Linked DNA regions of Sus scrofa. The protein of the gene in region 1 binds, or shares a complex with, the protein of each later gene. Links are inferred from orthologs where the notes say so. Each region holds a gene or a part of one and is shown in the gene's direction. Other genes may lie near its edges. The genes, in order: NCKAP1, WASF2, ABI1 and CYFIP2.

Region 1 (4,711 bases):
TAGTAGTTCTCAGTGCAGTCTTGCTTTATAATTTTAGTTTTAGCCATTCATCTCATTTAGATCAGAAATATGATAGAATAAGCCTCTAGAACAATTTCTTAATGCTAAGGCCTTGTTTTAAGCTAGAGTACTTAAAGTGAATTTGCAGAGAATTTACCTGCTGCCTCAGCATGTTAAGGATCTGGTGTTATCACTGCTGTTGCTCTGGTTACTGCTGTGGCATGGGTTTGATCCTGGCCTAGGAAATTAAGCGTGCCTCAGGCAATGCAAAAAAAAAAAAAAAAAAAAAAGAATTTGCCAAATGATAGTATCTTTTGAACTAGATTCAAAACTCACACCCTTACAGGTCAGCAGAATTCCCAGATAGGGACAGCCAGTACCAACAAGAAATTATTGTGTTGCTATAACTGTACCATCCAGTATAGTGGTTCACTCAGTCTTTCCAGTCTCATTGTTTAAAAATCTTCCCTATGCTAATGTCTTCTAAATCTGTATCTGTAGCCCAGACTTTTCCCTTCAGTTTAGATTTTCTCTATATCCTGCTGTAACTTAGATTTTTTTTTAGCCATCTGACGTTTAATATGTGCAGAATAGAAATACTGATTTTCCACATCCACCCCAACTTGGGGCCTTTTCTGTTTTTGGCTCTACCTTCTCATATGTTCAAACTTATACCTCTTCTTACCTTTGTACAAGCCATGTCATCTTTTGTCTGATGATTGTTACTGCCTCCTAAGTGGTCTGTTTCTGCCATTATCTTCGGTACCTAGCAATACAACCAAAGTTAAGAAACCTTAGTTTTGCTTTCCAGTCTTAGTATTTTTGAGCCATTGGATAGTAGTGAAATCTGTATTTTAATAAGTTAGTCCAGTAAGTTTGAGGCAGTGCTGGTTCCATATTTTTTTCAGGGAGAAGTGATAGCAAGGGATATGTTTTACCTTTAAGGAGTCAGAATTTGGTTAAACAAAACCCAAATGTTTATCATTTGAAATCTTTCCTTAAGTTAAGTGAATGATTATTTAATTGATCTGGCCTGTAGATCCTTTTTAGTCTGGCTTCTAACTGTAGTTTTAAAAGGCATTTTTTTTTTTTTTTTTTTCTTTTTAGGGCCACACATGCGGCAGCGGTTCCTTCCCAGGCAAGGGGCTGAGTGGGAGCTGTAGCTTCTGGCCTATAGTACAGCCACAGCAATACCAGATCTGAACCAGATTTGCAACCTATGCTGCAGCTTGCAGCAATGCCTGATCCTTAACCCCTAGAGCGAGGCCAGGATTGAACCCGCATCCTCATGGATACTTGTCGGGTTCTTAACCCAATGAGCCACTATGGGAACTCGTATAAGACATTTTAAATAAAATACATTATAAGGTATTATGGTAGATTGAGGAACAGTTATTTTACATGTTTAAATATTTTTATATTCTTTTATATTATTTTACATTTATTTAGCATAGAATTTGTGTTGTCTACATGTTTGTTATATAATTATGGATGATCAGCGAAGGAAAACCTGTAAAAATCTATTTCTTTGTAAAGTATTAAAAATGTATAGTGTAGAATTGTCCAGCATTATATACTTAACATTTCAGTTACTGTTGACAAGGAAAACTTTTTAAACCTATTAAATACCCACCAAAACTAGAATTCTGTAGCTAGAGATAGATGGATTTGAGTGAGTGTATGCAGCTACATGTGTATATGTAATCTCTCCAAAGTTAGATATAATTTTCTTTTTTCCTCTTATTATGTTCAGAAAAATACATGCATGGTCAGCTTTTTTTTTCTCTTCCAGGATGGGGAATTTGATTTTGGGGAGTTAGTTGAATGCCTTGTGAAGTTTTGTTGACTTGATTGCTGCTGATTTTATTTAAATATATGACCTTTTTTTCTGTTTTATACTGTGTGTGTGTGTGTATATATATATAATATAATCAGGTGAGGTCAGAAAATATTACTCTAAATCTGTTCTTTCACATTTGTATATTCGGTGTTTTAGTATTTAAGAATTGGATATGAGACTGGAATTTGAAAATAATAGTTTTTCTTGTTAAAGAAAATACTGGTTCTTTCAGATTCCTTTCAACCATATTTTACTTGTATAATCACCAAGTACTTATTTTATGTCAATTATGTGCAAGTACAGTATGATAGGTTAGTTGTTATAAGAGATAAAAGAAATCTATAACATTTTCCACCCTCACTCCTTATCGTAGAATAGACTTGAGCCTTCTTTTTGATGTTTATTTAAAAGGTGTCTTAATTCAAACTACTTTCTTATAATTTTTATTATTGTTATTGTTACTCTCTTGCTTTAACAGCGACATCATATTGGAGATCGAAGTCTTTCCTTATGTAATATGTTCCTTGATGAAATGGCTAAACAAGCTCGAAATCTCATCACTGATATTTGTACTGAACAGTGTACTCTTAGTGACCAGGTAATAAATGTTAAATGTTTCCTTACAGGTAGGAAAACTGTGTATGAAGGCAAGAAAATGATCTCTTAGCTAGTTGTTTTTTTTTTTTTAGTATTTTCATTTTTAAAATTCTCAAACTCTTAGTAAATCTCATTACCTCTTACTGTGAAGTTCCATTATTAGGTTTTTTAAAAATTGCCACTGTCCTTAGGATTACTTATGGTGTAAAATCCAGCCTCTAGCTTGATATTCAAGTCCCTTTCTGGTAGCTAAAGCCCCTCTACCCTGCACTTTGCATTCCATTACCTAGTCATTCTCACTGGATTCTCAACACATTGTGGCCTATAGTTTTGGTCTTCTTAGGCCATTTTCCTTTCAGTAAAGTGTTCATTTTTACTCCTGACTTGCCTGGTATTTTTTAACTTTTCTTTTAGCTGTAGCTCTATGAAGTGTTTCTTCACACAAGATTTACTTGTTTCTGTTTTCCATCAAGCTGAGTGGGCTCTCCAAGCTAGCTAGGTAAACTCTACCTCCCACTTAATACCTCTACTCTTAGTGCTAACATATTTGCCACATAGCCTGGATTTAGATAAGGTTTATTTCAGTAGTTAATGTTTTAAAGTAATCAGTCTAAGGTTTTATTTCTTTTTAAATTTAGTTACTGCCCAAGCATTGTGCCAAAACCATCAGTCAAGCAGTGAATAAGAAGTCAAAAAAGCAGACTGGTAAGAAAGGGGAACCTGAAAGAGAAAAGCCAGGAGTTGAGAGCATGAGGAAAAACAGGCTGGTAGTGACAAAGTAAGCCATCCACTATTGTATCTTTTTGTTATAGGTAGAAGAGTGGTTTTTTGGTATGATATTAGTACTGAGGAAATTCTTGTAATTGTAGATTCTTAATTTCCCAATCAGGGTTTTTGGTTTTTTTTTTTTTTTTTTTTTTTTTTTTGCCTTTGTGAACTTGCTTAGCCAGTTAGTGCTTATTACTTCATCCCAAAATATAGATTTTTGAATTTTTCATGTAATAAATGTCATTTGTCTTTATATGCTAAATATTAAAGGCCAAGAATCTCAAAAAATTTGGGAGCAGGGATATCCTATAAGCAATCTATAATTTTCAGCTTATTTAATATCAGGTGTTTGAGACTATTTTGGCATCTTGTCATGTATTAGAAAATACCCGATATCATTACTTTAAAATAGGTATATTATACTAGATAGTGTTCAGTGATTTGTTTGTTTATAGAGGAGATGAGCAATAATGGGTGAATGTTTTTTGTTGAGAGTAAATTTCCTACTTCTTTGCTTCCTGTGTTGAGCAAGCTTCTTGCCATTTTGTAGACAGCTTTCTTCCTCCACAGCAGAAAGTACGACAGGAATTGGAAATGATTATCTTTATGAGTGCAGAAAAAACTCATTCATATATATTAAGTCATTCATCTGAATGAAGAAACAAATGATGCCATCTTTAGAAAATTGTTCTCCATGCTTAGTGATACCCTTAAAGATTTTGAACTTGTCAGTTTAAGAGAGAGAAAAAACTGAATTCTATAGTTATCCCCAAATAAGGTCCAATATGTTTATAAAATTAATTTTTTATTGCTATGATGAAATGTTAAAGTTTTTATTTTATGCTTGTTAATATTTTTCAGCCTTGATAAATTGCACACTGCACTTTCTGAGTTGTGTTTCTCTATAAATTATGTACCAAACATGGTGGTTTGGGAACATACATTTACCCCACGAGAATATTTGACTTCTCATCTGGAAATCCGCTTTACTAAGTAAGAAAGAATATAAATTATTTTTGTTTGTTGGTTCAATTAATGAGTTTGTTATTTTATTCTTCTTATCTATGCAGTGTCTCCTTTTGTGAGAGAAAGCACTAGTAGAAGCAGTATAGTATAAAGAATAATAAACTGGGGTGTATAAAGAATAGTGAACTGGGAATTACTTAAATTACAGAGATTCTTATCCTATACTTATTAACTGGTTATAATACTGGACAAGCCAGTTAATCTTTGTGAGTCTTCCTTTCAAGCAAAATGAGAAGATGAAGCAAATCGGTATTCTTCAGTTGGCAGGTGACAACCCATTAGGCTTATCAAATCAGTTTAGAATGTTGCAGTCAACATCTAAAGAAAGATAGAAAAGAGAGGAAAGGAAAGAAGAAGTAGGGAAAAAAGTGCATTACATGTAGTAAATAGAAATATTGCTTCATGAAACTTTGTGTATATGTATGTGTAATCTGAATTGTGATACTAAATACATATTTTGTAGTGGGACACAGTCAAATG
Region 2 (4,711 bases), on another chromosome or scaffold:
TTCCCCTCAGCGCTATTAACAGGCGAGTATATTCAGGCTGAGTTTTAGAAATTGACTTTTCTATTCACCATTTATTTCTCTTGCAATTTGCACCTGACTCTGCTGGACACTCAAACTAGGCTAGTCCCTTCCCCGCCAGTTTTGCAGCTCGTTTCTCAGATCAGCACAAGGCTCTACAGTGTTTGATTTGTAACAGGAGCGGTTTAACACCTTGACTACTGGTTGGGCGGGGCAGAGGTGGGGGCCTAGGCCTACACTGGTAGATGCTCCCCCCAGACTCCCAGTGATGTGTGTAAGCATATGACCTACCAGGTACAACCTCACAATCCCATTAGTGTGGCTGCCAGGAGGCCCAAGAGAGTGCCAGGGGCTAGTGCAGCTGCACAGGCTGAAGAATTCTTCTTTGCTTGTTTTGGTTTGTTTTTAACTATTTCCTTATATCTGTCCCAGATATCTGTCGCCGTCATTATTTCTCTTCTCTCTTGACTGACCTTTGTGGCATAGCAAATAACAGTTTACTAACTTCCTAACAATTAGAGCTGCTCAAAACCATGAATGAGTTACCCAAAGAGGTAATGGGGTTTCATTGCTAGAAATGTTTGAGTGTGGGATTGAGGAACTGTGTTTGATCCCAGGAGGTGGTTTGGATTAGATGACCTCTAGGTCACTCTAAACCCAGCAGTTCTATGAATTCTGTAGTTACCGTATGCTCTCTAGGCATAGACAGCATATGCATGGGTGTATATCCGTGAAAGTGATGGAATTTTACTGAATAACTTTGGGAAGTGTTTTATTAAGGCTTTTCTGTTTCTTTTCATTATAGAAAGAAAAGAAAGATAATCCAAATCGAGGGAATGTAAACCCACGTAAAATCAAGACACGTAAGGAAGAGTGGGAGAAAATGAAGATGGGTCAAGAATTTGTGGAATCCAAAGAAAAGCTGGGGCCGTCTGGGTAGGTGATGCTTTTGTTCTCTTGGTAGCATTCTTGGAAGGGGCTGGGTACCCGAGGGCAGCCGTCTGACAGCTTATGTGTGACACCTTTCATACACCCTTAAGTCTGGCTCTGTGGCTTAAATCAATACCACTGTTAATCAGCTACTTTAAAGTGCCTCTGTCTGGTGATTAAAATTTGCTAAAAAAAAAAAATCAAGAGACTCAAGCAGTTTAAATGAGATGACCAGAATGGCCTGGAAAAAGAATGCCCATGGCTTTTAGTGCCCTTGCTCTTCCAGACATGGCTATGTCTGAGGGCCTCAAAGGAAAGACTAGAAAGGGAAGAAAAGTGGTCTTGGAAGGCCTTTGCCTCCAGAGTGTTGATTTGAAGGTCATGGCTAAGAGCTGGGCATTTCACTGGTGTGGGGAGGGCCAGGCAGAGAATTTGTGCACATCGCCAAAGCCACTTCTCAGTCAGCCTTTGTCAGTCTTGGGAGAGAGGCTGGCCAAGGGGCTGAAGCCGACCTCAGAGGCAGTGTGGGAACAGTCGCACGGCTAGCATTGAGGCTGTATATCTCTGTGGAGAAATAGTAGATGTCAGTCTGACCCCGTTTCCCAATTCCAAATCACACTAGAGGTTTAAAAGGAAAAAAAAAAAAAAATGGTTTGAAAGCTTGGTTTGATTCTTATCCTGGTGTCTGACCTGTGTGACATTCAAAGCCAAGTCACCACGACTGCTTGGCATGAATGTCGCGCTGGTTTTTCCCCTAAATACCTTGCATCCTGGCTGTCAGAGAACCATGCCAGCCCATGCCGGGTGTCTAGGGACGATAAAAGGAAAGAGTGGAGTTGTCCTTGCTTTTAGGAATAACTCTACCATGAAAATCTTGACTTTCAGAAATCTTGACACTTCTGACACTTGTTCTTCCTGGATTAAGAGATTTGTTTTAAAGAGTGATGAAGATGGTGAGAGGAAAAGTGAACCTTTCTTTCTACAGGGGGATCAGCCCCGAGGGTACCTCCATTAGCTTCACCTCCCAATAAAAAGGGGCCATTTTGTTCTGTGGCCCCATCCTGTTCAGACAGGCCCTTGTCATAAGAAGGTTCTCTAAGGCCAGAAGCGTGCATGTCCAGGATGCCGAGCAAACTTGTCTGTCTGTCTGTCTGTCTCTGTGTAATTGGAGTGGTGAAAATGAACACTTTGCCTCCCATTTTACTGTTGTCCAAGAGGTTTGGGCAGGCTGCACAGCTGGTCCACATGGACATCCTTGTTGGTGAACCTATAAAGAGATGTGCCAAGTCCTTGGGGATTTTCCACATCAGAGCATCATTCGATTCTGTTAGCTCCCTCCAAATCTGTTCTCCCTGTGATCTGCTTTAGATAAGTTCCGTAGAACCCAACAATGGTGGGAAGAAGCAGGAGGTGCTAGCTGCTTCTTGGTGTATTCGTGCTTGTTTGGAAGTTTGTTGCTGTTCACTCAGCGCAGATTTACCCAAGGCCCAGTGCTCTGGGGGACAGGTTTTCATGAGGCAAGCCCTAGCACCCCACTTTAATCCACAGCTCATTTTGTTAAATGAGAGACCTAGCAGAGACCACATCTGACTACCACATGACAACTTGTATTTGTCCTCAGCTTGGCTTTGCAATCAGATGCCCTCTTGGCCTTTGAGCACTCCAGAGGCTTGCCGACCTCAAAACCAGTCTGTGTGCCAGTCATGTGTTTGCAGCTCAGTAGCCTTGGGACTTGGCTTTGCCCTTTGCCACAAGACAAACTGGGATTTGGGTTCTGGGCTTCCCCTAACATTTGGAAGTGAATTTAAAGGAACTGCTGTTTGACAAGGCCAACACTGGGAAAGGAACAGCATGGTTTTGATAATCTGAGTTGAGTCCCATTTCCACAGACAATCCAGCAGAAATATCTGGGAGATATTTAGTAATAGAATATTTAGGCCTAAAATAGTCAGTGCAACGGAAACTCTATGGGAAATATACTAATTTTATTTCTCCCTAATAGCTTGTATATCACATGCATTCTTGTGGGGTCTTTTAAGAAAACAAGAGTACCACTCAGACTTTAAATGACAGTTCTGGCATTGTGTTCCTTGTCAGGTATCCACCCACCTTGGTGTATCAGAACGGCAGCGTTGGCTCTGTTGAGAATGTGGATGCAAGCAGCTACCCACCACCACCACAGTCAGACTCTACTTCTCCACCTTCTCCTTCCTTCTCTGAGGACAGCTTGCCTCCCCCACCAGCAGAATTCAGGTAAATGGTGGTACCTCTTCCATCTACTCTGGGTGGTTAAATACCAACGAACAAAGGAAGAATTCTAAATCCAGGCCAGAATGACTTCAGGCCAGTCTGTCTAGATAGTAGAAATAATTAATATTTATTAAGTGTTTGTGAGGTACCAGGCATTATGCCAAACACTGTGTATGTTACTTAATCTTCACAAGAATCCTCTTGAGGTAAGTACCCATTTTACAGATGAGTGAAGAGTGAAGCACAGAGAGGTCAGTGAACTTACCTGAGATCACACAGCTGGTAAGAGGCAGTCATGATTAGAAAACAGGTCAGTCTAACTCCAGAATCTTTGATCTTAACTACTAGGTATTCCTGAACAGAAAGAAGTCACCAACTTAACTCTTGTTTTTTAACTTAGCATTGACTCGGCATGAAATAAAGTGGTCTCCTCTGTTGCTGTCCACATAATATTAAACAGGGAAGAAAGGGGGCATATGCTATGGAACAGACACCTTGCCCAGTTGTCTAGGAACCTAGCGGATAGTCACCTTTTTTTCCTCTTGCCTCTAGTTCATTTCACTGTTGGATAGAATCTCCAGAAAGAATGTCAAAGGAAAGGAGATGAAACTTAGAATCTGACCATTTTGATATATGTCAGTGTCCCTGGCAGAGGTGAATAGAGGAAGAGTGAGCAGGTAGTGGCTGAAAAGGGAAGGAATCTGAGGAGTGTTCAGATTTCTGTGTTTCCTCATAATCACTGTTCATCCTGATGCCTGACACATGAGAGCTTTGTAAGGTATGCTTTTCTCCTTGGACAGGGTTTAATCAGAGATTGAATATTTTGAAGTTCCCTCAGATGGAGCCCTAAAGCAGTGTTGTCACCCCCCGCCCCATTCTTGGCTCTTGAAACCACTAATCCCAAATCTCCTTCTGCCTCCCCAATCACTTCTTGCTGGTTGCCCTGTTGGATTCAGCAGCTAAAGCTCGAAGGTCTGTGGAAAATTCCAAGATGGATGCTTTTCTAAGGAGTAGCTATTAGTGCAGGGCAGATACAAAGCTGGAAAAAAGGAGCCCTTCAGCCCACACATGGCCTGAAACCATGCAGCCACAGTCTAACCCAGGAGTCTGCACCTTAATCCTCTTTCAACCTGGGTCAGGTCTGGCGGCACGTTCATTTCCCGTCTCCGCTGACCCTCGGGCCCTCGTTTTCTCTCAAGTTTTTCCACATGCGCACTGAAGGTGCATTCACCTAAATCTGTACCCTGCTCAGGTCTGGTCAGCTTGGCTTGGATTTCCTGCCCTCACAAGATCTGGTGCATGTTAATAGCCTGTGGAACAGAGCCTGGTGGGTGGTGGTGGTTGAATTTTTATTCCAGTTCGTTCTTGCATGCCTTCTTGATCCCGGTTCCAGGATTGAACTGACCCTTCCTTTTAGAGGGGGGTTCAAGAGGGTGCCTTCCCTCGGAGAGCTGAAAGGTTTGAGGGGGACCTGAGAGATGATCTTGGCCAGCCCTTACCCGTTGGAGGAATC
Region 3 (5,251 bases), on another chromosome or scaffold:
ACCTAGTGTGCTGGGCCAGGAATTAAGCCTGTGCCTTTGGTAACAAACCGAGCCAATGCAGTCGGATTCTTAACCCTCTGCACCACAGTGGAAACTCCTCTTTTGTCCACTTTCTTTTTTTTTTTTTTGGTCTTTGGTTTTTTTAGGGCTGCACCCAAGGCACATGGAACTTCCCAGGCTAGGGGTCGAATCAGAACTGTTTTCACTGTCCTACACCACAGCCACAGCAATGCCAGATCCAAGCCGTGTCTGTGACCTACACCACAGCTCACAGCAACACTAGATTCTTAACCTACTGAGCTAGGCCAGGGATCGAACCTGCAACCTCATGATTCCTAGTCGTATTCTTTTCCACTGCATCAACAACGGGAACTCCCTCTTGTCCATTTTCTAATTGAATTGTCTGTCTTTTTTTTTTTTTTTCTTTTTAGGGCCTCACCTGAGGCATATGGAAGTTCCTAAGCTAAGGGTCAAGTCAGAGGTGCAGCAGCTGGCCTATGCAACAGCCACAGCAACCTAGGATCTGAGTCCCTCTTTCAACCTACACCACAGCTCAAGGCAACACCAGATCCCTGACCCACTGAGCAAGGCCAGAGATCAAACTTGAATCCTCATGGATACTAGTCAGACTTGTTTCCACCACATCACAGCAGGGACTCCTGTCTGTCTTTTTTTTATTGACTTGGAGGAGTTTTTTTTTTTTTTTTTTAATATATTCCAGATACAGGTCCTCTGTCATAAGTATGTGTCATGGCTTTCTTTTTATTTCTTCTTTTCTTTTTAGGGCCACACTCTCAGCATATGGAAGTTCCTGGGCTAGGGGTTGAATTGAAGCTGCAGCTGCTGGCCTATGCCACTGACACAACAACACCAGATATGAATTGCATTTGTGACCTATGCTGCAATTTGCAACAATGCCAGATCCTTAACCCACTGAGCAAGGCCAGGGATAAAATCCTCATCCTCACAGACATTATTTCAGGTTTTAATCTGCTAGGCACAATGGGAAATCTCAATATTAATATATATATATATATATTTTTTGGTCTTTTTAGGGCTGCACCTGTGGCATATGGAAGTTCCCAGCCTAGGGGTCAAATCAGTGCTATTGCCTCGGGCCTACACCACAGCTTACTGCAATGCCAGATCCTTAACCCACTGAGCGAGTATCCTTTACTCAACTTGCACCCCCAGTCCATTGCTTGGTGTAGAGCTGGCAATAACAAGGGCAAGTTAAATTTTAAGTAAACTGAGGGCGGCAGAAGTTTAGAAAATAAAGCCTGAGTGGAGTTATCTCTAAAAAGACAGAGGAAGTAAAGATCTGGAATATCCTTATTCCAGTCCTTTTTAAACCTTATCAGATTGATATCTCTGATTCACAGGCATTTCCTAGTTAAGTTCTACCAAGTATTACAGCTTTCTCGGGGACCGGGTTTTATTCTCTAGTATCACTCTGCGGCGCCATCTGCCGGACCCGTCAAGAGACTAGAAACTTAAACCACCACCCTCATTCCAAGTTCTTTAAATATGCTCCTCCTCGTTCTTTTTCGGAGGCTCCCTGAACGCATGCGCTTCTGATGGGCAGCCACGTCTGCAAGAGACTACAATTCCCAGAAGGCCATGCCAAAGGAAAAAATTTCCATGGTTGCGGGAAGGGGGCGGGAAAGACAGGAAGGCTCGCGAGAAAAGAGGTTGAGGCGGCTGCGTGAAGTGGGTGGAGGCGGGTGGAGAGAGTGAGGAGGAAGAGGAGGAGGTTCCGTCCCACAATACCAGGCGGGAGGGCGGGCAGGCGGTTTGTATCCGGGCTGTGAGGTGCTCGGCGTCTCCGCAGACCTTGCTGCCTCTGTCTCTTTAACGCGAGAGGAAGCGATGCAGAGGGGTGGAAAATGGCAGAGCTGCAGATGTTACTAGAGGAGGAGATCCCGTCTGGCAAGAGGGCGCTGATAGAGAGTTACCAGAACCTGACCCGGGTGGCGGACTACTGTGAAAACAACTACATACAGGTGAGGAGCGCGGTCGCGCGGGCGGGCGCTGGCCGGCCGGGCCAAGGACCCGCCGGCGGCCGCCTGGGTGACCAGCCCACTGGGAGGGGTGGGGAATTGCCCTAACCTTAGCGGCAGCCCCAACCCCAACCCCAACCCCAGCGCCAACCTCAACCCCAGCCTCAGCCGGGGCGACAGCAAGTGGCCGGGTTTGGGGAGTCGGGCTGCGATACAGGAAGTGGCTGTGGTGGTTGAAACCCATAGAAGCGGAGAGAGAAAATGGGCGAGGGAGCCCGGAGCTCGCGGCCGTCGCAGCCCGGCGCCCCCCTGCCGCCCGCCTCCCCGCGGGCTCAGCCCCCGGAGTCGCGCTTCCCCCCGGCAGCCCTCCACCCGCCGGGCTTTCGCCCCGGAGTCCCCCTAGAGCCCTGCCGCCTCTCTGCCGGCCCAGGGGTCTCGGACCGGTCGAGCAAGGGGAGAGCAAAGGGCCGGGACGAGGCGCGGGGCGGAGCGGCAGGAGAGAGAGGAAAAGCGGGGTGTGTGTGTCGGGGGAGGGTGGGGTGGGGGCGATTATGTCAGTTTAGCCCAGAGGGTGTGTCTTTTATTTATTTATTTTTTAAAAAATTGGTCGTGAGTCACATCACAGAGACCTCCCCGAGGAGAGGAGGAAGCGAGTGGGGAGCGAGGGAGGGAGTAGAAGTTAATCTCCAAATTCCTTTAATTGAAGGTTTGTAAATCTGCCTGCCTGTCCATTTTCAAGTCGGGTTTTTTTCCCTCTCATCATTTTCACTTCCGCCCCACCGTAATATATTCTAGAGATTGTTAGGGCGATCGTTAGCTTGAAACAAATTATTCTTAACTACTTGGAAAAATGGCTTAAATACTCTCTCTTCCTCAAAAGTTCTTGAACTGCTAGCTTCCTAAGTAACTTAAAATAGAATGGTGTAATCGCCGGTTGCTGTTTTTTTTCCTGAGGTTTCTCTCTTTCCATCCTAAGTACTTGTGTAGAATGAATCTCAGTAGATTACTGAACATTTAGTCTTAGAACCATAACGACAAATACGTTATTGTTGAATGTTTTCGAAAATTCTTGGACCTTTATCTATGATAGGTGGTTGCTTGTTTGCTTTTATTTTAATGATTGAAAGTGAATTATGTTGTGGTGGTTTGCTTTGTAGATCTTTAATTGCGGTAAACTAACATTTTTCAATAGAAGCAAGTAAAAGTAGCAGAGTCCTTTTTAATCAGGATAATGGCACCAAAAATTCGCTTGTTAGTGGTAAGGCATGACCAAAACGTGTTTTGAAAGGTTAGAGTTACTGTAATTCCGAACTAAGGTATTTATAGAAATGCATCCCATGTGATTGTCATTTTTAAGAACCAATGGTTTCTGTGTTGGCAAATGCTTTCCTTTTTATTTTTAGAAGGAGATACTGTTTTCAGAATATTTTGAATATTTTTCAATTTCCATATTAGTAACACTGTATCTTCAGTAGCACTACAAGGAATTTATCTCATAAATTTTTTCAAGATTTTACTTTAGGAATTCCACTGATAAACTTGTTGAATGCCTGCTACATCTACTGTTTTCGCTGTTTTTGCAAACTGCTTTTAAAAAAAATTCTAAAATCTACTAGAAATGTGGATATACTTTTCAAACAGAAAAGTTATTTTGTAGTTGATTGATACCAAAAATATACAAGTTTCATTGTGAAAAGCCCTAAAATTGAGGTGATTCTCAGTTTGCTGAAGGTTTTAAAGATTTTGAAAGTCAGAGAGAAAGCACAGGAAGTTAAATTGCCTCCATTAAGGGAAAGTCATTTCTTTGTAGAAATCAGCAGATAGGTACTTCATTAAGGGATGGTTTCTTTTTGTTTTGCATGTTGGGAAATCTGACAAATACATGGTGTGGTAACTGCTATGTGTTGGCAAATGCAAACGTGTTTTAACCTGTCTGTTGAGTATTTCTTTTTCAGGTAGTTGTGTGCTAGAGGTACCCCCACCCCTTTTTTTCCCTCTTGCTACCATCATGTAACTTTGAAGTACTTTTAAACTTCATTATATCCCTAGTTAAATAAATCATGTTATTTCTCATAGTCTTTAAAGCATATTAGTACCATGGTGCCAAAATCCACTGTAAGTGGCCCCCAGTTTCTTTTTGGTGGTCCTAAACTTGATGCTAGTGAGATAGTCCCATGTAAGCTGTGGGGGTGGGAAGAGATGAAGTTCACACACAGCAATGTTGATGTTAGAGGCTGCTGCTGCTTTTTTTTTTTTTTTTTTGCTTCCCCCCACCTCCACTCCTTTGATATGTAGTAGTTGCCCCGCCAGGGATCAAACCCTAGCCACATCAGTGACCCAAACTGCTGCAGTGATAAGGCTGGATCCTTAACCCACTGCAGCACAAGAGAACTCCCAAAGCTAACTTTGGGTTGCTTGAAGCTGGCTACCAGTTGCCTTCCCAAGAGGCTCAGACAGGCTCAGAAGGTAATGAGGACTTTGTGAGAGTTGATGTGTTGGTAGCTGGCTTTATGATGTGCTACGCTACTGTTAAGAGGAAACTCATAATACTAGAAATATCCATTTACATGTCTTTTGAGATCTCTCTGTATCCCTTCTGTGACAGGGTAATAGCCAACACCCTGTGTAAACATACCTTCTCTTGGGAAGAGTATATGGTCACTTGTGTTTTGAGAATTTTTTTACACCCCAAGTTAAGTTTTTGCCAGCGTGGTTTTTATCCTGAGATAAAATCACTTTTCATTTTGTTATTTTCCTGTAGTTTTGAAGTACAGTTCAGTCAGGTATGGTATTTAGCTGGAAGGTTCTTTTGGCTGTAGTACAGTTTAGTCCTTGAGCACTTTATTAGCTCTTTTGGACCTGTTGACTTTAATTATTAAATTGTATTAATAGCAGAACTTCTCAAGAGAGCCCACTGTCTTAAAAAGGGTTTTTTTTTTTTTTTTTGTCTTTTTGCCTTTTCTTGGGCTGCTCCTGTGGTACATGGAGTTTCCCAGGCTAGGGGTCGAATCAGAGCTGTAGCCACCGGCCTACGCCAGAGCCACAGCAATGTGGGATCCAAGCCGCATCTGCAACCTACACCACAGCTCATGGCAACGCCCAATCCTTAACCCACTGAGCAAGGCCAGGGACTGAACCCACAACCCCATGGTTCCTAGTCGGATTTGTTAACCACTGTGCCACGACAGGAACTCCAAGGTTTTTGTTTTTTTAAAAAGGTTTTTGAAATTCTTTGGGAAAATAATTTTCAA
Region 4 (5,361 bases), on another chromosome or scaffold:
CAGTATATACATAACTGTCTCTTTTTGTTGTTGTTTGTCTTTTTGCCTTTTCTAGGGCCGATCCTGCGGCATATGGAGGTTTCCAGGCTAGGGGTCTAATTGGAGCTGAAGCTGCCAGCCTATGCCACAGGCACAGCAACGCAGGATCTGAGCCGCATCTGCGACCTACACCACAGCTTATGGAAAAACCGGATCCTTAACCCGCTGAGCGAGGCCGGGGATCAAACCCGCAACCTCATGGTTCCTAGTCCGATTTGTTAACCATTGAGCCACAACAGGAACTCCCTGTTGTTGTTCTTTTTAAGCAACACATTCCTGCAAAGTGAAAAGACAAGGAAGGAGCCACAGGGAGAAATACATCTTCCATAAATCTACAACATCTGAAATAATATGCCATTTAGAATGAAAATCCAATCTCTCATTGTTAAATACTTGTAATCACTGACACCCCAAATCCCAAGGATCACAGTTGAAAAATTAAAAAAAAAAAAAAGGGGGGGGGAGGATCTTGCTGCGGTTCAGCAGTAACAAACCCAACTAGTATCCATGAGCATGTGGGTTTGATCCCTGGCCTTACTCAGTGTGTTAAGGATCCAGCATTGCCATGAGCTGTGGTGTAGGTTGCAGATGCAGCTTGGATATGGAGTTGCTGTGGCTGTAGCATAGACCTGCAGCTACATCTCTGATTTGACCCCTAGCTTGGGAACTTTCACATGTCATGGGTGGGGCCCTAAAAAGACACACACAAAAAAGGAAACCTCAGTTCTCTTTTTAAAGCCATCCTCCACAAACACCCCCACAGCTTTCTCACATGGCATCAGGGACAGAAATGTATATGTATACATAAGTCATCCTTTCTGAAATAGAGATTTAAATTAGAATGAGTGATGTAACATCAAACCACAAAGGATCATGAATCCTGAGCACTCGGGAAAGGATGTGAGATCAGCGAGGACAAAGACTTATACAAGTCCTTTGCTGAGTGTTGAGTAATGTGGCTCCTCTATAAATAACCCTTGATAGGAAGAGCTGAGTGATGAACTTTACATTTGCAAGCCCCTCAGATATATTTCAGGAAAGTTCCCTTGTAGCAAGACTTTACCCCCTAACTTTAAAACATCTCAAATGATTTCAAATCATTTACCTTGTGAAGTAGGAAAGGCAACGATTATTCCCCACATTTTAGATGTGGTGGCATCTCAGGAACAGAGTGGTGAAGTGACTTGCTCAGGGGTCCCAAGGTTGGAATTAGGTGTTGTCTGACTTCCACCTGGTTTGAGGCCCCGCCAGGATGCATTTCAATGTGAACCATTTCTTTGGAGGGCCCTAAATGGCAAATAAGTCTTGAAGAGAAAAGTGCCTGTCCTCTCAATTCCTTCTCTAATTTCCGTCATCATGGATTTGCCTTTTTGTCCATTAGGCAATTAATTCTTCCTGAATGAAGTTGAGGCAGGCCTCTGCTTAAGAGATGGCAGCTTCAGGGATTCCACACCAAGGAAGTGAAAGAGAGAACCAGTAGGTATTCTTGAACAGAGGAGCAGCATTTGGGATCAGACTCCATTGGCAGAAGCCCTCTCCCCAACTCTCAGGTTTATTTTCTACCATTTCACCCTGTTTCTTTTTTTCTTTTTTTTTTTTTTTCCACAAAACGGTCTTTTAGCTGAAACTGGACATTTGCCAAGTTAATTTATGCCATGTATCTCCTGATAGATGATAAGCTCCAGAAGGGCAGAGACTCTGTCTTTTGCATACCCCAGTGCATACTCAGCTCCTGGCACGGTGCTTGGAACGAAAGAAGTGCTCGAAAAATATGCATTTGGAAATCATGTGAGATCAATGAGATCCTAATGGAGCCCAAAGGATCAGTCCTCCCACAAGCTGCAGGTGTGGTTCCTGGGTCTGAGGGGCCCGGGAAAATCCTCCCTAAGCGATGTAGCTGGCTCTCCTGGGGCGAGAGGTCCGGGTGCAGGTCTGGGATGCGCCAGCCGCGCTGAGGGACGCACCCAGAGCCCCTGGCCGCAGCCATTTCCTGCTCTTTGTGTGACAGGCGCGGCGGCGAAGGGGCGGGGTGCGGGGAACGGAGGAGGAGCCGCAGCGGATGGAGGGGCGGGGCCGAGGGCGGGCCCAAGCGCGGCGGCCGCCGAGCCGGGCCAGGCAGAGCATCCTGCGCCCCGGCGCGGGGCCCCCGCCGTATCCTCGGGCAGCTCCCCTAGACCTGCTGCAGACCCAGGTAAGCGGCGCTCGCAGGCCTCGGGGCCGGCGTGGAGACCGGGATGCTGCTGGGGATGTCGACGCAGCCGTAGAGATGCGCGAGGGGCTCGCACCCCTTCTCCCAGCGCCGTGGGGGTGCTCGGCGCGGCGGCCGGGCTAGCCCGGCCTGGGGGCCCCAAGAAGCTCCCAGAGGCCGGGCCTCGGGCCCAGCACAGCCCGCTGCCCCCTTTGGCCCACCCTAGTGCCTGAGGCGCGGACCGCCTTCGGGGAGGCACCGACGCATGGAGAAGCTGAGGCGCGGTGGCGGTGGCAGCAGCAGCAGGTGCGCGGCCTGGGCCGAAGCCACCCGCCTGGGAGGAAGCGGCGCTCCTGTCGAGCATCTGAAGCACCTGCAGCGGCCGCGAGGCCGGCGGTGGCGACCTCCCGGCGCCCAGGTACCGCAGAGCGCCGGCCACCGCCTCTGCTGCCGCCTCTGCCGCTGTAGCTACCATCACCTCCCCCAGGGCCAGCTAGAGCCGCCTGGGCCCGCCTGGCAGCCGCCTTGGACGCAGCGCGCCCTGTAGTGAACGTGAGATGGGTGGAGCAGGGGTCTCCGCAGCGTTGTTTCGGGGTGGGGGGCTTTAATGAGCGAGGAGGCAGGCCTGACCCGCTTTGAAGCCTTCTGGCCTAGCATCCTCTCCCTCTGGCTGGCTGGGGGCGGGGAGGAGGTGGGGGGAAGGGAAAGAGTGGTCTGATTCCTGGGGGAAAGGTTGGGTTTTATTTAGCTCTGTAGTGGCTTCTGCGTTGCAGGACAGCCGCCTCCCTCCAGGGGTATGCATCATCTGAAAAGGTATACAAGGGCAGTTCTCCGTGTGGCAGTGGGGGTGGGGGCGGGAAGCATGGTCTGGAGTAGGTTCTGTCTGGAAAACCTGACAGAGAAGGACACCGAGACTGCCCAGGTACCCTGCTCAGCCCAGGGAATCTGACTTTGACCTCTGCCTGTCTAGTTTCCCCACCATAGCAGTGCGACTCACCAAGGACTGATGGATGGGCCTTCAGCTCCCCTTACAGCGGGGCCCAGAAAGGGACAAGGTTATTTTCCTGTGGGCTTCTGGGCACTTGTGCCTTCGAGGCATGGTCAGAAAGGCTGGGGTAGCCCTGCAGGCATGAGGGGCAATCAGGAGAGTGCTGGTTCCCACCTCTCCCTTCCCACCTCCTGACTCTGTCACTTTTGCGCACGGGGGTGGGTAGGGGGGAAAAGGAGGGGTGTGGGGAGGCCGTCGATCTTACCTTACTCTTGGGCACAGGCGCTGTTGCAAGCCATGCTGGCAGCTGTGAAGATTATAGCTGCTGGAGGGCAAAAATCTAGGTCCATATCCCTGGACAGGGTGGTGAAGGCCTTGAAAGTTGTTTTCTCCATCAGAGCTTCTCTGCGATCCCTCCTGAGACCGCTCACCTCTGCTTCCACACAGTGCCCTGTGCTCCACCCCCACCCCCACCCCCACCCTATTCTCCTGTGCCAGAAATTGTTTTCAAGAAAGGAGCCAGTGAAGGCATTTATCCTCAAAGAGCCAAATACAAACAAATTTCCCATTAGACGCAGAGCAGGTGCTTTAGAAGTCATTTGACCAGAAAGGAAACAGAGGCTTAGAGGCATTTTAATGGGAAACAAAGCTTTTAGTAAATAATATTTCATATCTCTAACGGTGGAATTTCAGGCAGTGGGCTGGAAGTGGGAGTGGGGAACTGGGTCGCAATTTTGGGGAACAGCTCACTGAAATGACAGCTTTTAGCAGCTGTCAGTGCTGTTTGCTTGCTGCAAGGGCAGCTTTGGCCTTAAGGGCAGAAATACCATAGGAGTAGTGTGTGTGTCTGTGTGTGTGTGTGTAACTGGTCAGGGGTTACTGTCACTAGAAGGCATTGTTGAGCACTCAGTGTCTATTTGGAAGAGGTGAAACCTATAGAGAGTTACTTGTTGACACTGGCTGCCATCTGCCAGAGCAGCTACTAGGCCACAAGAAGAGTGTGTTGTTGCTCTCAAAGCCAGTTCCCCTGGCTAGTTCTGCAGGCTGAGCCTCTGGCTGGGGGCATTAGCGTGCTGTTCACTAAGCTTCTTTATTATATTTCCTGGCCAGTTCTGACTGGTTCTGTAGGCACCCAGGCCTGCCTTGTTCAGTACCTGCTGGAAATGGAAAAGGAAAAACTTGTAGGCATTAGACCGAGAGTGGGATATGAAGTCCACCAGGATAGGAGAGTTTTACTCAAAGCCAATCAGAGTCTGGCGCAGAGAAGAAAGTAGACAAGAATTTAAAGACTGGAAAAGGATCTTGGGGGAATAGTACATGTCCTATCTGAAATATTGTGCCCTCTCGGGCATGCAGTGGGCCTCTGCTGCTGTCACTGAGTGGCAAGGCGAATTAGGTGATGAATAGGCAACAGCTAATTAGCATTGGGAACAGCACTCCTGGAAAATAGTGCCGAGAGCTCCAGTCCCCACATTTGAGGATCAGCCTATACTCTCAAAGAGGTTTCTCTTGGCCACTGTTGGTCCCAGGGTTCCGCCCAGAGCTGCGCAAAATGGCCTTTTATAGCCTCCATGTGGCCACCATAACAATGAGTCTATTTCTTTACTGGCATGTATTAATTATTCACTTGTAGTTGACGAAACCAGACAGCAGTCCCCTCACTGGAGCCTTTGTAAAAGGCCTCGGGTCTTATTGTCCTGAGGAGCAAAGCCAAGTCTAGGGTCCAGAGGATGGATCCTGCATTAGTCGTGGAGATGGGGCAAGGGGGGGCGGAGCATGCAGTTACCTTGAGCAGAGACACCTGTGCCATCAGTGGTGGGGAAGGATGCTCTTATTAAATAAGGGATGCCGCAAAGTGCCTAGCACATAGTGTGTACTATTATATTTATGTGTTTATTGTTATAATGCATTAATTACATAATCATGAAGAATGTGGCTCATGTCACCTTGTATATTGTGTGTCAATTTAAGAAGACAGATTCTTTGTGTGTGTGTGTGTGTGTTGTTGACTCTGCTAAAGGATTTCATGGCCTTAGAGGGCCTCCCACAGTGAAGGTTCCACCCTGGTCGCCCAGCAGATGCCTCATTGCTGGTGTCTGTGTCCAGGAACAGCATGCCTGTGAGTTGGCTGGTGTAAGTCTTCATT

Evidence for each region.
Region 2: NCKAP1 (region 1) and WASF2 share a complex: the UniProt entries of both Homo sapiens proteins name them as parts of the WAVE2 complex. The link is inferred for Sus scrofa from reciprocal best matches to the Homo sapiens genes NCKAP1 and WASF2.
Region 3: NCKAP1 (region 1) and ABI1 share a complex: the UniProt entries of both Homo sapiens proteins name them as parts of the WAVE2 complex. The link is inferred for Sus scrofa from reciprocal best matches to the Homo sapiens genes NCKAP1 and ABI1.
Region 4: NCKAP1 (region 1) and CYFIP2 share a complex: the UniProt entries of both Homo sapiens proteins name them as parts of the WAVE1 complex. The link is inferred for Sus scrofa from reciprocal best matches to the Homo sapiens genes NCKAP1 and CYFIP2.

The regions. Positions count from the first base shown.
Region 1 is NC_010457.5:88,454,924-88,459,634, reverse strand, and holds part of NCKAP1 (nck-associated protein 1), read left to right. Parts: intron 1-2,318; coding exon 2,319-2,438; intron 2,439-3,075; coding exon 3,076-3,215; intron 3,216-4,066; coding exon 4,067-4,198; intron 4,199-4,711. UniProt on the Homo sapiens protein: Part of the WAVE complex that regulates lamellipodia formation. The WAVE complex regulates actin filament reorganization via its interaction with the Arp2/3 complex. Actin remodeling activity is regulated by RAC1.
Region 2 is NC_010448.4:84,627,518-84,632,228, reverse strand, and holds part of WASF2 (wiskott-Aldrich syndrome protein family member 2), read left to right. Parts: intron 1-823; coding exon 824-954; intron 955-3,045; coding exon 3,046-3,201; intron 3,202-4,711. UniProt on the Homo sapiens protein: Downstream effector molecule involved in the transmission of signals from tyrosine kinase receptors and small GTPases to the actin cytoskeleton. Promotes formation of actin filaments. Part of the WAVE complex that regulates lamellipodia formation.
Region 3 is NC_010452.4:48,937,723-48,942,973, forward strand, and holds the start of ABI1 (abl interactor 1), read left to right. Parts: upstream 1-1,733; 5' UTR 1,734-1,886; coding exon 1,887-2,003; intron 2,004-5,251. UniProt on the Homo sapiens protein: May act in negative regulation of cell growth and transformation by interacting with nonreceptor tyrosine kinases ABL1 and/or ABL2. May play a role in regulation of EGF-induced Erk pathway activation. Involved in cytoskeletal reorganization and EGFR signaling.
Region 4 is NC_010458.4:65,998,307-66,003,667, reverse strand, and holds the start of CYFIP2 (cytoplasmic FMR1-interacting protein 2), read left to right. Parts: upstream 1-2,091; 5' UTR 2,092-2,230; exon of another isoform or gene 2,231-2,645; intron 2,646-5,361. UniProt on the Homo sapiens protein: Involved in T-cell adhesion and p53/TP53-dependent induction of apoptosis. Does not bind RNA. As component of the WAVE1 complex, required for BDNF-NTRK2 endocytic trafficking and signaling from early endosomes.